3 linked regions of the Macaca fascicularis genome follow. The protein of the gene in region 2 binds, or shares a complex with, the protein of the main gene of each other region. Links are inferred from orthologs where the notes say so. Each region holds a gene or a part of one and is shown on either strand. Other genes may lie near its edges.

Evidence for each region.
Region 1: CASC3 (region 2) and MAGOHB share a complex: the UniProt entries of both Homo sapiens proteins name them as parts of the mRNA splicing-dependent exon junction complex. The link is inferred for Macaca fascicularis from reciprocal best matches to the Homo sapiens genes CASC3 and MAGOHB.
Region 3: the proteins of CASC3 (region 2) and EIF4A3 are in contact, whole or in part, in a crystal structure (PDB 2J0U), measured with the Homo sapiens proteins. The link is inferred for Macaca fascicularis from reciprocal best matches to the Homo sapiens genes CASC3 and EIF4A3. Residues at the interface, in NP_031385.2 of Homo sapiens: Arg217, Trp218, Glu219, His220, Asp221, Lys222, Phe223, Glu225; in NP_055555.1 of Homo sapiens: Thr178, Arg179, Lys198, Ile201, Tyr202, Tyr205, Arg206, Tyr207, Leu208, Pro209, Pro210, Thr212, Lys231, Phe232.

What each region holds. Positions count from the first base shown.
Region 1 is NC_088385.1:10,340,303-10,344,687, forward strand, and holds the start of MAGOHB (protein mago nashi homolog 2), read left to right. Parts: upstream 1-1,441; 5' UTR 1,442-1,503; coding exon 1,504-1,597; intron 1,598-4,385. UniProt on the Homo sapiens protein: Required for pre-mRNA splicing as component of the spliceosome. Plays a redundant role with MAGOH in the exon junction complex and in the nonsense-mediated decay (NMD) pathway.
Region 2 is NC_088390.1:61,239,314-61,242,959, reverse strand, and holds part of CASC3 (protein CASC3), read right to left. Parts: intron 1,950-3,646; coding exon 1,791-1,949; intron 1,702-1,790; coding exon 1,550-1,701; intron 978-1,549; coding exon 801-977; intron 179-800; coding exon 1-178. UniProt on the Homo sapiens protein: Required for pre-mRNA splicing as component of the spliceosome. Core component of the splicing-dependent multiprotein exon junction complex (EJC) deposited at splice junctions on mRNAs.
Region 3 is NC_088390.1:86,549,909-86,553,554, reverse strand, and holds part of EIF4A3 (eukaryotic initiation factor 4A-III), read left to right. Parts: intron 1-140; coding exon 141-213; intron 214-2,504; coding exon 2,505-2,571; intron 2,572-2,974; coding exon 2,975-3,037; intron 3,038-3,646. UniProt on the Homo sapiens protein: ATP-dependent RNA helicase. Involved in pre-mRNA splicing as component of the spliceosome. Core component of the splicing-dependent multiprotein exon junction complex (EJC) deposited at splice junctions on mRNAs.

The sequences.
Region 1 (4,385 bases), on a different chromosome or scaffold from region 2:
AGTAGAGACGGGGTTTCACCATGTTGGCCAGAATGGCACATATATTCTTAATTATAGCAATTGATCCATTGTGCCAATATTTGCCTTACAAGTTTGCTTTCTTTTCTAGACTACCAGTGCAAATGCCTTTTTATTTCTAGTTTCAAACTGTCACATAGGAAATGTTTGTTAAAACTAACGTTTTATAAAATTTAAAGCTTATTTTACATATCTCATTTGATCTCTCAAGAATTCTGTGAGCTTGGCAATGTAGATTGCTGTATATGCCTTAGGCTGATGAATAAACAGGCTTAGAGAGTCACTTGCCCGAGGTTAGGTAGCTGTAAGTGTTGGGATTGAATCCCAGGTCTTCTCACCACCACTTTCTACAAAAATCACTGAAGGTTGTCAACCAGCAGAGAGGATTACTCTGTGTGTTGATAACAAAAGGGTGATCAATAATATTTAAAAAGCAGACTTTGTGTAAAAGTCTTTCCCTTACCTTAAAAACTATGCCACAATGGAGCATTCTTTCATTCCTCCAATTTAATTATATCTGGCGAGAAACAGTAATGGGCTAAACCATTGTTGTATCTTAAGTCAAATTGCCAAAACTCCACAGGCTACTAAAAGTTAACCCTTACTGAATGAATTAAGAACCATAGAAGTTCTGCTGTTAAAAAACAGCACGGTGACAGTCAGGGTTTTTCAGGCGTAGGGGGTGTGTGTTTTAAGACTTTAAGCCAGTTTTGTCCCACTGAAATTACCGTCAGTGATTTTTAGTAGAAAGTGGTGGTGAGAAGACCTGGGATTCAATCCCAACACTTACAGCTACCTAACCTCGGGCTAGTGACTATCTCTAAGCCTGTTTGTTCTTCAGCCTAAGGCATATACAGCAATCTACATTGCCAAGCTCACAGAATTCTTGAGAGATCAAATGAGATCTCTTAAGTTCTTTGCTGTGATGGATTCCTTTGACTTTGTCTCTATTATTATAGGCTTATAGGTCCGGGGCAACTACCAATCGTTATTCAAAGGGGAAAGCACCCTGTTCGAAATCAAGTAAGAAAAATGGTTTATATTCCCGGTCTGCCATCTCTATTCTAAGCTTTATCTTTATTTAGCTCCCAGTTAAAGGGGGAATAGAGCCACACCCACCTCACAAACGCCCCGAGGACTGGGAGACCAGAAAAGTAAAAGCCACTTGCAAACCTAATTTAGCTCTAAGTCGATAAAAAATACTATCATATGCTCACATTTCTAATATTTGCTAATATAATGTGATCTTTATTTTGAAAATAATGTGCCTCCAATCCTAGTAAAGAGAAAGTCACGGCATGCGACTCTCCCTTCAGCACCAACTGGCCTCTCACGCGAGACTCGGCTTTCACGCTTTAGTCCAGGGCTGCAAGGCAGGCGGAAGAGAAGCGCCTGTGGTGACGCACTTATTCCGCGCGATGACGTGACTACAAGGCGCCGGGGGACACGTTGGCTGGGTTTTCGGCGGGCTTCCCGGGGACAAAAATGGCTATGGCTAGCGATTTCTACCTGCGCTACTACGTAGGGCACAAGGGCAAGTTTGGGCACGAGTTTCTGGAGTTCGAATTTCGGCCGGACGGTGAGAAGAGGCCCACGGCACGCGGTGCTGGGAAAGGGGAGCGAGACCGAGAGGCCGTGGAGGAGGCGAGGGGAGGCCGGGTGGTGTGGAGGGTACAGGGGGCGGAGGCCACTGCTTCCCTCGAAGGAAATAGGAGCTTAAGAATAGAGGAGGCCTAAGTTGGTTTTATAAATGAAAGAGAACTAATTGCAATAAATTAAAGCTAATCCTGTCGCAAACTGAAAAGTCGAACTTACAGTAATCAGAATTCTGTAACTGCACCAGAAGGGACTCTGTAGATTGTTGACCTGGATTAAAAATGCTAGCACTTTTTTGAAAACACCCCCATCAGCGGGTGGTCCAATGGATGAATAAAATCTTGTGGTGACCAGTACCTTTTCTTCATTCAGGCTGTGTGTGTTCTTTGAAGGGGAGGAGCCCGACGTGTTAACAAATGAGAATAATAATATGTTTTAGGTGTCTACGTATAATTGTTCACCACAGGACGCATGAAGAGTACCAAAAAAGAGGGGAGATGTAAAGTTCCACAGGAGGGAGTCAGGAAAATCTTCCTAGAGGAAGACACTCTTGAGATGAGTCTCGAAATGAGAGACTTGGCCTTTGAGAGAAAAAAACAGACTTCCAGAGCAGTGAGAGCAGAGGACGAGGTGAAACTGCTACCCCAGTAGCGTGCAACAATTTGTTTTCTGACAGCGCTATTAGAGAATGTTACATTGGTCCTGCCTACCTGCAACAAGAAAGTTCATTTGGATATATATGTTTTGGTTTTTTTTAAATGCACGTTTTTTGCTGGGCAACAAGCAAATACAAAATTTGAAGGTACACTAATGAGTAAGACAAATTTAACTCAAAGAGATTTGTCTTGGTGGGGACACAGACATTTAACTATAAAGCAGTAGGTATATTAATAAGCAGGCTTTGGACAATGTTCTGTGAGAGCAAGAATAAAAAATTAGAGGAGAAACGTATATTAGGAAAGGAGAAGAGTATCAAGCATTTCAGGCAGAACTCAGGTGAACTACAGTCCTGCAATTATTACTTTGAAACAGAGTCTCACTCTGTCACTCAGATCTGAGTGCAGTGGCACGATCTCAGCTCACTGCAACCTCCGCCTCCCAAGCTCAAGTGATCCCTCACCTCAGCCTCCCGAGGTGCTGGAAATACAGGCCAGTGCCACCTCGCCCATCTCCTTTGTTGTTGTTGTTGTTGTTGTTGTAGAGATGGGTTTCCGCATGTTGCCCAGGCTGTCCTCAAACCCCTAAGGTCAAGAGATTCACCAGCCTCAGCCGCCCGAAGTCCTGGGATTACACGCATGAGCCACCGTGCCAGCCCTGCAATTATTTAGAAACCTTAATCACTGTATTCGACCTTACTCTCCCCATAAATTCAGCTAAATTTACCTGAATTCATCTATTCTTTATGTAGTATTATTTTCAGTTCCTCTGCCTGTGAACACCGTCAAGCTTGTCTCTATTACTTTTAGCAGGTCACATAAATTAAGCACCTGAATATTATCAGGGAAGTTTTATGCTAGAACAGTGGTTCTAATCAATGTATCTGCCACTGCACTGTTACACATACTTCTTCTATTGGTAATATTGAGTCTCCCGAAGACCTGCCTGCCTGCCTGCCTGCCTGCCTGCCTGCCTGCCTGCCTTCCTTCCTTCCTTCCTTCCTTCCTTCCTTCCTTCCTTCCTTCCTTCCTTCCTTCCTTCCTTCCTTCCTTCCTTCCTTCCTTCCTTCCTTCCTTCCTTCCTTCCTCTCTCTCTCTCTCTCTCTCTTTCTTTCTTTCTTTCTTTCTTTCTTTCTTTCTTTCTTTCTTTCTTTCTTTCTTTCTTTCTTTCTTTCTTTCTTTCTTTCTTTCTTTCTTTCTTTTTCTTTTTCTTTTCTTTTTTTCTTTCTTTCTTTTTTTTGAGACAGAGTGTTGCTCTGTCACCCAGGCTGCAGTGCATCTCAGCTCACTGCAACCTCTGCCTCCTGGATTGAAGCGGTTCTCCTGCCTCAGCCTCCCGAGTAGCTGGGATTGGAGGCATGTGCCACCATGCCCGGCTACTTTTTCATATTTTTAGTAGAGATGGGGTTTCTCCATGTTGGCCAGACTGGTCTCGAACTGCTAACCTCAGGTAGTCCACCTGTCTCGGCCTCCCGAAGTGCTGGGATTACAGGCGTGAGCCACTACGCCTGGCGCCAAGCCATCAAAGACTGGCATTTCTATCATTTTAGAGTAACTGCTGCACCTTATAGCTGTGTCTGGGCAACTGACTAGCCATAAGGGGAAGCATACATCAGATAATACACAAATCATGATGGATTAAAATTAAATATAAACTAGCTAACAAACTCATCAACTTCGATCCAGAAGCATCGTTTGTATCCTTCTTAGTCATAATTCTAAAATGTCTACAGTATAATTGTATGCATACATTTGAAGGAAAAAAAGGAACATTTTTTTGTAGTGGAGAAAGCCTGAGTATTAAAAGAAAGTAGATCTAGGTCTGAATCTCCCATGTTTAAGTTACTTAACTTTGTTTTCTCTCTTATGAATAGGTGAGAGAATAAAACCTGATTTTTAGGATTGTTTTACAGATTAGATTAAATTCTCTGTGTAACGCACTTAACACCAATACATACATATAACAAACTTGAATGTTAGTGCCTTTTGCAGATTCTCTTTCTAGTTCATGATGTAGCTTAAGAAAATAGGCTGTAAAAATGACCCTATATCTATATGTTGTAGGCATAGACTATTTAAATATTTGGCTATCTTCAACTTCAGCAAACTTAACCA
Region 2 (3,646 bases):
TTCCTTGAAGCCCCCAGATCGAGAATAATTCCTGGGTGCAGACATGCGGCCAGTACCTGCAGCATTTCTGTTAATAAATGTCCTTGGTGGTAGGGTACCCCCAAGACCCTGGTGGCGATGAGACTTGTTTAGCCGCTCACCATTCCAATTTGGATCTCTTTGTGGAGGACTCCCATATCTACAAAAAATGGAATGAAGAAACTGTTAAGAAATTAACAAAGGGAGGCTGGGCACGGTGGCTCAGGCCTGTAATCCCAGCACTTTGGGAGATCAAGAAAGACGGGCAGATCACTTGAGGCCAGGAGTTTGAGACCAGCCTGGCTAATACAGTGAAACCCCATTTCTACTAAAAATACAAAATTAGCTGATCGTGATGGTACATGCCTGTAATCCCAGCTACTGAGGAGGCTGAAGCAGGAGAATCACTCGAACGGGAGGTGGAGGTTGCAGTGAACCGAGAACATGCCACTGCACTCTTTATTTTGTCTCAAAATAAAGAAAGAAAGAAAGAAGGAAGGAGAGAAGAGGAAGAAAGAGAGAGAGAAAGAGAGAGACAGAAAGAAAGACAGACAGAGAGAGAGAGAAAGAAAAGCAAAGCAAGAGAGTTCTTTCTAAAATGTATCTATAGTCTATGGTCTATTTTTTTTTGGAGACAGGGTCTCACTATGTTCTCCAGACTAGTCCTGAACTTCTGGCCTCAAGCAATCATCCTGCCTCAGCCTCCCAAAGTGCTGGGATTCCAGGTGTAAGCCACTGTAAGCCACCATGCCTAGCCCAGTCTATGTTCTAAAATGCCTCACCGGGGTTTCCGGATTCTTCGGGGTTTGATGTCATCAGGATTGTGAGCTGAGCGAATGTCATAACCATAAAGAGCAATGAGCTCCTGTCGGGACTTTGGGGCCTGCTCATCTTCCCGGAACTTGTCATGCTCCCAGCGACCCTCATCCTTCCAAAGCTTTCGCTGACGCCCCTTGGGTCTGGATAAAATGAAGGAAAAGTCTTGGGTCAGCAGAATTCTCCAAGTAGAGATGTTCATGAACAAAACGGGTCAGGCAGGGGGACAATAGGAACTTCACGTAGTCTCATCATCCCAAAGAGATTATAAAAAACAGGCCTCCCCTAAGCAAGTGTGAATCACAGAACCTCAGAGCCTGCTGGGCTCAAATACAACAGACATAGAAATGAGAAAAGGACTTCATTTCATGCCATTCAGTACCTTTGAAAAACATCTCCTTTCTCCTAAAAAGCAGCCTATGCAAGTACTTCACTTCTCAGAGGCCTTACGCCTCAGATTAAGAAAAGAAAAAGTAGAATAATTAAGAGAAGATGAGTTCTGGAAACAGACTGCCCTAGGTCTGCATCTTAGCTGCCTCACCAAGAATTACCAAATATTCTAAGCCCACTTTCCTCATTTGTACAAGAAGGATAATCATAATACTTACCTTAAAATGCCTGTAATAAATGAAATACAGGCAAAGCATTTAGCAAAGTACCTGACCTACATGTCTAAAATACATGTTAGACAGCGGCAGCAGCAAGTGGCTTTTACCTGACTTCCTCCTCCTGAGTTTGCCCTCGAAGATCATGCTCAAAGAAGAGCCCTTTCCGAGGTATGTATGCTGGATTCTTTCGATCTTCATCATCATCCAAATGCTTAGGGCCCTTTTTACCCACTTTGTTCTCCACAGGTTCTGTGCTCTCCTAGAGGACAGATAAAGGGATCCTTACTCTTCCAGACTCAATAATCCCTATTCCAGCCTCTAAAATGGAGGACTGTGGAATGTACAGACCTGTCCGTCCCCACTTTGCCTCTCTCCAGTCACAGTGCCTTTGGTGTCAGGCTTTTCTTCTCCCTTCTCTTCTTTTGTTGAAGAATTAACAGCATCATTAGCTTCTGATTTCAGCTCCACTTTGGAGTTTTCCTCTTCACTGTATTCTCCTTCTTCACCCTGAAAAAAGTTTCCCTGTCAGTGATGCAGATAAGATCTGAACAGCATTTTAATTCCCACCTCGCCCCCCTCCCAGGATGGAGTCTCTGTCACTCAGGCTGGAATGCAGTGGTGTAATCTCGGCTCACTGCAACCTCTGCCTCCCAGGGTCAAGCAATTCTCCTGCCTCAGCCTCCACAGTAGCTGGGATTACAGGCACCCACCACCACGCCTGGCTAATTTTTGTATGTTTAGTGGAGACCGGGTTTCACCATGTTGGCCAGGCTGGTCTCAAACTCCTGACTTCACGATCCGCCTGCCTTGGCCTCCTAAAGTGCTGGGTTTACAGGAGTGAGCCACCGTGCCCGGCTGCATTTCAATTTTCTGCTCTTTAGGAATACATTTATTGATTAAATTTTTAGTACAACACAGAACTGAAAAGCAAACAAATCAATATTCTTACCCATATTTCCAGAAGATAAAGATCCTATTTTGGCTGGGCACGGTGGCTGATGCCTGTAATCCCAACACTTTGGGAGGCCGAGGCAGGCAGATCACCTGAGATCAGGAGTGCGAGACCAACCTGGTCAGCATGGCAAAACCCCACCTCTACTAGAAATACAAAAATAAGCCACACATGGTGGCAGGCACCTGTAATCCCAGCTAACTGGGAGGCTAAAGCAGGAAAATCATTTGAACCAGGGAGGCAGAGGTTGCAGTGAGCAGAGACTGCACCACTGCACTTCAGCCTGGGCAACAGAGTAAGGCTCTGTTGCAAAAAATAATAATAATAAAAAAAACGCTATTTTTAAAAATCACATTAAAAAAATACACACATACACACATATATATCCACATAGGTTTTCCTGGAACACATGCAAGAATGATTAAAAGTGGCAGGCTGGGTGCAGTGGCTTACACCTATAATCCCAGCACTTTGGGAGGCTGAGGCGGGAGGATCACTTGAGGTCAGGAGTTCGTGGCCAGCCTGGTCAACATGGCAAAACCCTGTCTCTACTAAAAATACAAAAATTAGCCGGGAGGCAGGAGGCTGCAGTGAGCCAAGATTGTGCCACTGCATTCCAGCCTGGGTGACAAGAGCAAAACACCGTCTCAAAAAAACAAAACAGGCCGGGCATGGTGGCTCACACCTGTAACCCCAGCACTTTGGGAGGCCGAGGTGGGCGGATCACAAGGTCAGGAGATCGAGACCACGGTGAAACCCCATCTCTACTAAAAATACAAAAAATTAGCCGGGCGCAGAGGCGGGTGCCTGTAGTCCCAGCTACTCAGGAGGCTGAGGCAGGAGAATGGTGAGAACCCGGGAGGCGGAGCTTGCAGTGAGCTGAGACGGTGCCACTGCACTCCAGCCTGGGCGACACAGCAAGACTCTGTCTCAAAAAAAAAAACAAACAAAAAACCAGCAGCAGCCTCTAACAGGCCCAGAGGATAAGAATGGAAGGGAGACTTACTATACAATACCTAACATATAAGAGGAGCTTAATCTTTTTGATAATTTCTATCTCCATGAATTATCTTTTTTGAGACAAGGTCTTGCTCTGTTGCCCAGGAGTGCAGTGGCACAATCATGGCTTACTGCAATCTCAATCTCCTGGGCTCAAGTGATGTTCCCACCTCAGCCTCCGAAGTAGCTGCGACTACAGGCACATGCCACCACACCTGGCTGATTTTTTTTATTTTTATTTTTAGTAGAGACG
Region 3 (3,646 bases), about 25 Mb from region 2:
GAGAGCTTGCTATGTTGAACACTGGGTTAGGCGGGAGGACAGGTTCAAACAGCAAACCACGTCTGCCCCTGAGGAGCTCACAGTACAGGGTTTCTGTGCTGTCATTGTAGCGAGAGCTATTTTTTTGTTTTTATTTGCAGGTTTTGAAAAACCATCAGCAATCCAGCAACGAGCAATCAAGCAGATCATCAAAGGGAGAGATGTCATCGCGCAGTAAGTTGTCCTGGGGTGCGGCGCGGGGCTGGATGCAAATTTGGGCAGCGCAGTGCAGTTAGATGCTCTGGGATGACTGTTTCCCTCAGCTTCTACACACTCAGTACCAACACGTGCCCTGACTTTAGCCACAGGGTTTAATAATTTTTAAATTTCTGTTCTCTACTATAGAAAGCTTTCATTTTCTTTTTGAGATGGAGTCTCGCTCTGTCGCCCAGGCTGGAGCGCAGTGGCACCATCTCGGCTCACTGCAACCTTTGCCTCTCTGTTTCAAGCGATTCTCCTGCCTCACCCTCCCAAGTAGCTGGGATTATAGGCGCCCGCCACCATGCCTGGCTACTTTTCGTATTTTTAGTAGAGATGGGGTTTCACCATGTTGGTCAGGCCAGTCTCAAACTCCCGACCTCAGGTGATCCACCCTCCTTGGCCTCCTAAAGTGCTGGGATTACAGGCGTGAGTTACTGTGCCCGGCCAAGGCTTTCATTTTCTTAGCCAGCTTTGCTTGGTGGTTTGCTGGCAGGTGGAGTTGTATATAACACAATTTCGGAAAAACAGACTGCTTTTCCTCTGCTCTCACACCACCACCACAGTCATCAGCACAGAAGACGACTTGTGTGGGGGTTTTCCAGCTGGGTGTCCTCCAGTTCAGCTCATACCATCTGCCTGGAGACAGGCCATATCCCACAGGTTGAGGGCTCAGTCCCCTCAACTACCCTCTTTTCAGGCATCAATTATAAGTTTGGATGTCTAGAACTTCTGACCAAGCAGCTTCGAGTTGGGGTTCCCATGATCCCCTCTTTAGGTTGGATTAATTTGCTGGAACAGCAGCTCAAAGAACTCAGGGAAACACATTTAGTGGTTTATTATAAAGGGTGCTACAAAGGATACAGATATGGGGGCGGGGGTGCAGCCTCCCAGAACCTCCTTGTGTTCCACTGTCTGTGTTCAGCCATCCAGAAGCTCTTCGAACTTGGTCCTCTTGGGTTTCTATGGAAAATTCCATGAGGTCAGCATTCTTTCCCCCGCCCAGGGAATAGGGCAGGAGCTTTTCTAGGATAATACCATAATGCTTTTAAAAAAATTTTTTTTTAATTTAAATTTTTTACTTTTTTTGAGACAGGGTCTTACTCTGTCTCCCAGGCTGGAGTGCAGTTGTGTGATTACAGCTCACAGCAGCCTCAACCTCCCAGACTCAAGTGATTCTCCTACCTCGGCCTCCCAGGTAGCTGGGACTAGAGGCACACATCATCATTTACGTTTTTTATTTTCTGTAGAGACAGGGTTTCCTTGTGTTGCCCAGGCTGCTCTCAAACTCCTGGCAGTCTCCCTGCCTTGGCTTCCCAAAGCCTTGGGATTACAGGCGTGAGCCACTGTGCCCGGCCTAAACATTTTTTGTGTTAAGATATGGGGCCTCACTTTGTCACCGGGGGGAATGCAGTGGTGCGGTCATAGCTCACTGCAGCCTCTAACTCCAAGGATTAAGGAATCGTCCCACCTCAGCCTCCCAAGTAGCTGGGACTGCCTGAATGTGCTGCCATTCCTGGTTGGCTTTTTGTTTTGTTTAGAAATGGAGTCTCTTCCTGTATTGCCCAGGCTGGTCTCGAATTCCTGGCTTCAGTCAGTCCTGCCTCTGCGTCCCCGAGTGTTGGGAATACAGGCCTGAGCCACCATGCCGTGAAATGAGGGTCTTTATGACTTAAAATCTGAAAGGCAGGGAAGATTAGAGCCCCGCTGTGGAGCAGGCGAAAGGAGAGCAGGTCAGAGAGATTGTTTCCTGAGGCCTAACAAACCCATCAATTTAGTAAGACTGTAACAAGGGCTATGGGAGCTGTGAGCTAGGAACTATGAATGAAAACCTGTATGTAGTCTTATCTCCTAGCACCACAAATCCTCTTTTAATAGCTTTATTCCTCGTTTGCCTAATTTCAAAAAACTCATTTACACAAAAATTTCTTTGGAGGAGAGAGTTAGTCCAAAATCCTAGAAGGAAAAGAGTTGTATTTAGATAAAGGGGAGTCCTCCTTTTTCTGACACCTATGAAACACCTCTTGAAGTGACAGAGTCTGTGGCTCCATTGCCCCCCTTGCAGAAGCCATATCTACTCTCCTCATGGACACTTAACAAGCTGTGACACTGGGCCCGAGTCCCGCCTCCTTGCAGTTAAGATGTTATTGGGTACGGGGGCTTCTTGGAATAAGGTACATAAGTGCCTCTGGAGCCCAGGCCTTGGAGTGCAGCTGTGACATGGCCTGTCCTCCCTCTAATCCCACTGCTCTTATTTCCTTCAATAGGTCTCAGTCCGGCACAGGCAAAACAGCCACCTTCAGTATCTCAGTCCTCCAGTGTTTGGATATTCAGGTAATTTGTCATTCTTAAAACAGACTGTTCTGTAATTCTAGGAAATAACTGCTTTTTCTTCTGTAACTACAGTGTTCAAAAAGTACAATTAAAAATTTTCTAGTATGTATTGACTCAGCAAATTTTTACAGAGTCTTAATTGTACACTAATATTTGCACTAATATTCTGTCATGATTCTTTATTTAACTAGAGGAAGTTCTTGTCTGCAAACAAGGATCCTGACACATTAAGTTATTGCTGGATTTGCAATTTAAATGACATTAAGATTTGCTAACCTCTGTAAGAGATGAGAAGTATGATTAATATGAGATACTATTTCTCATATAGATCTCAGTGTGAATTACTACAATCCACCTTGATAATACTGAGAATTCTCTATTTTCTGATAAATTATTTCACCAGGTTCGTGAAACTCAAGCTTTGATCTTGGCTCCCACGAGAGAGTTAGCTGTGCAGATTCAGAAGGTGAGATGGCTAAAGATAGTGGTGTCCGATTTGCAAGTACTGCTTTTGTGATTTAGTTGTGAAACACTTGACTTATTTATTTAATCCAATCCTGTTTTCTGATACCTCAAAATTTTCTTCCTGATTAACATTTTGCCATGAATCATTATATAAATTGCTGGTTTGTATTAAGTCATTTTTGGTGTGGCTTGTGTGCTCTCAGTAGTTTTTTACAGCCTTAGGAATGTAGATTTTTCAGCAAAAAATTTTAATAAAAATAAATTAGGCCAAGGTGGGTGGATCACCTGAGGTCAGGAGTTTGAGACCAGCCTGGTCAACATGGTAAAACCCTGTCTCTACTAAAAATATAAAAAATTAGCTGGGCGTGGTGGCAGGTGCCTATAATCCCAGCTACTCGGGAGGCTGAGCAGGAGAATCACTTGAACCTGGGAGGCAGAGGTTGCAGTGAGCTGAGATTGCGCCACTGTACTCCAGCCTGGCAACAAGAGTGAAACTCCGTCTCAAAAAAATAAATTGTACCCATTTTATACTTACATAATATAAAGATGTATATTTTAAAAGATGTATATTAAGATGTTAATGTTGGTTTCTTTGGTGGATGGGATTATG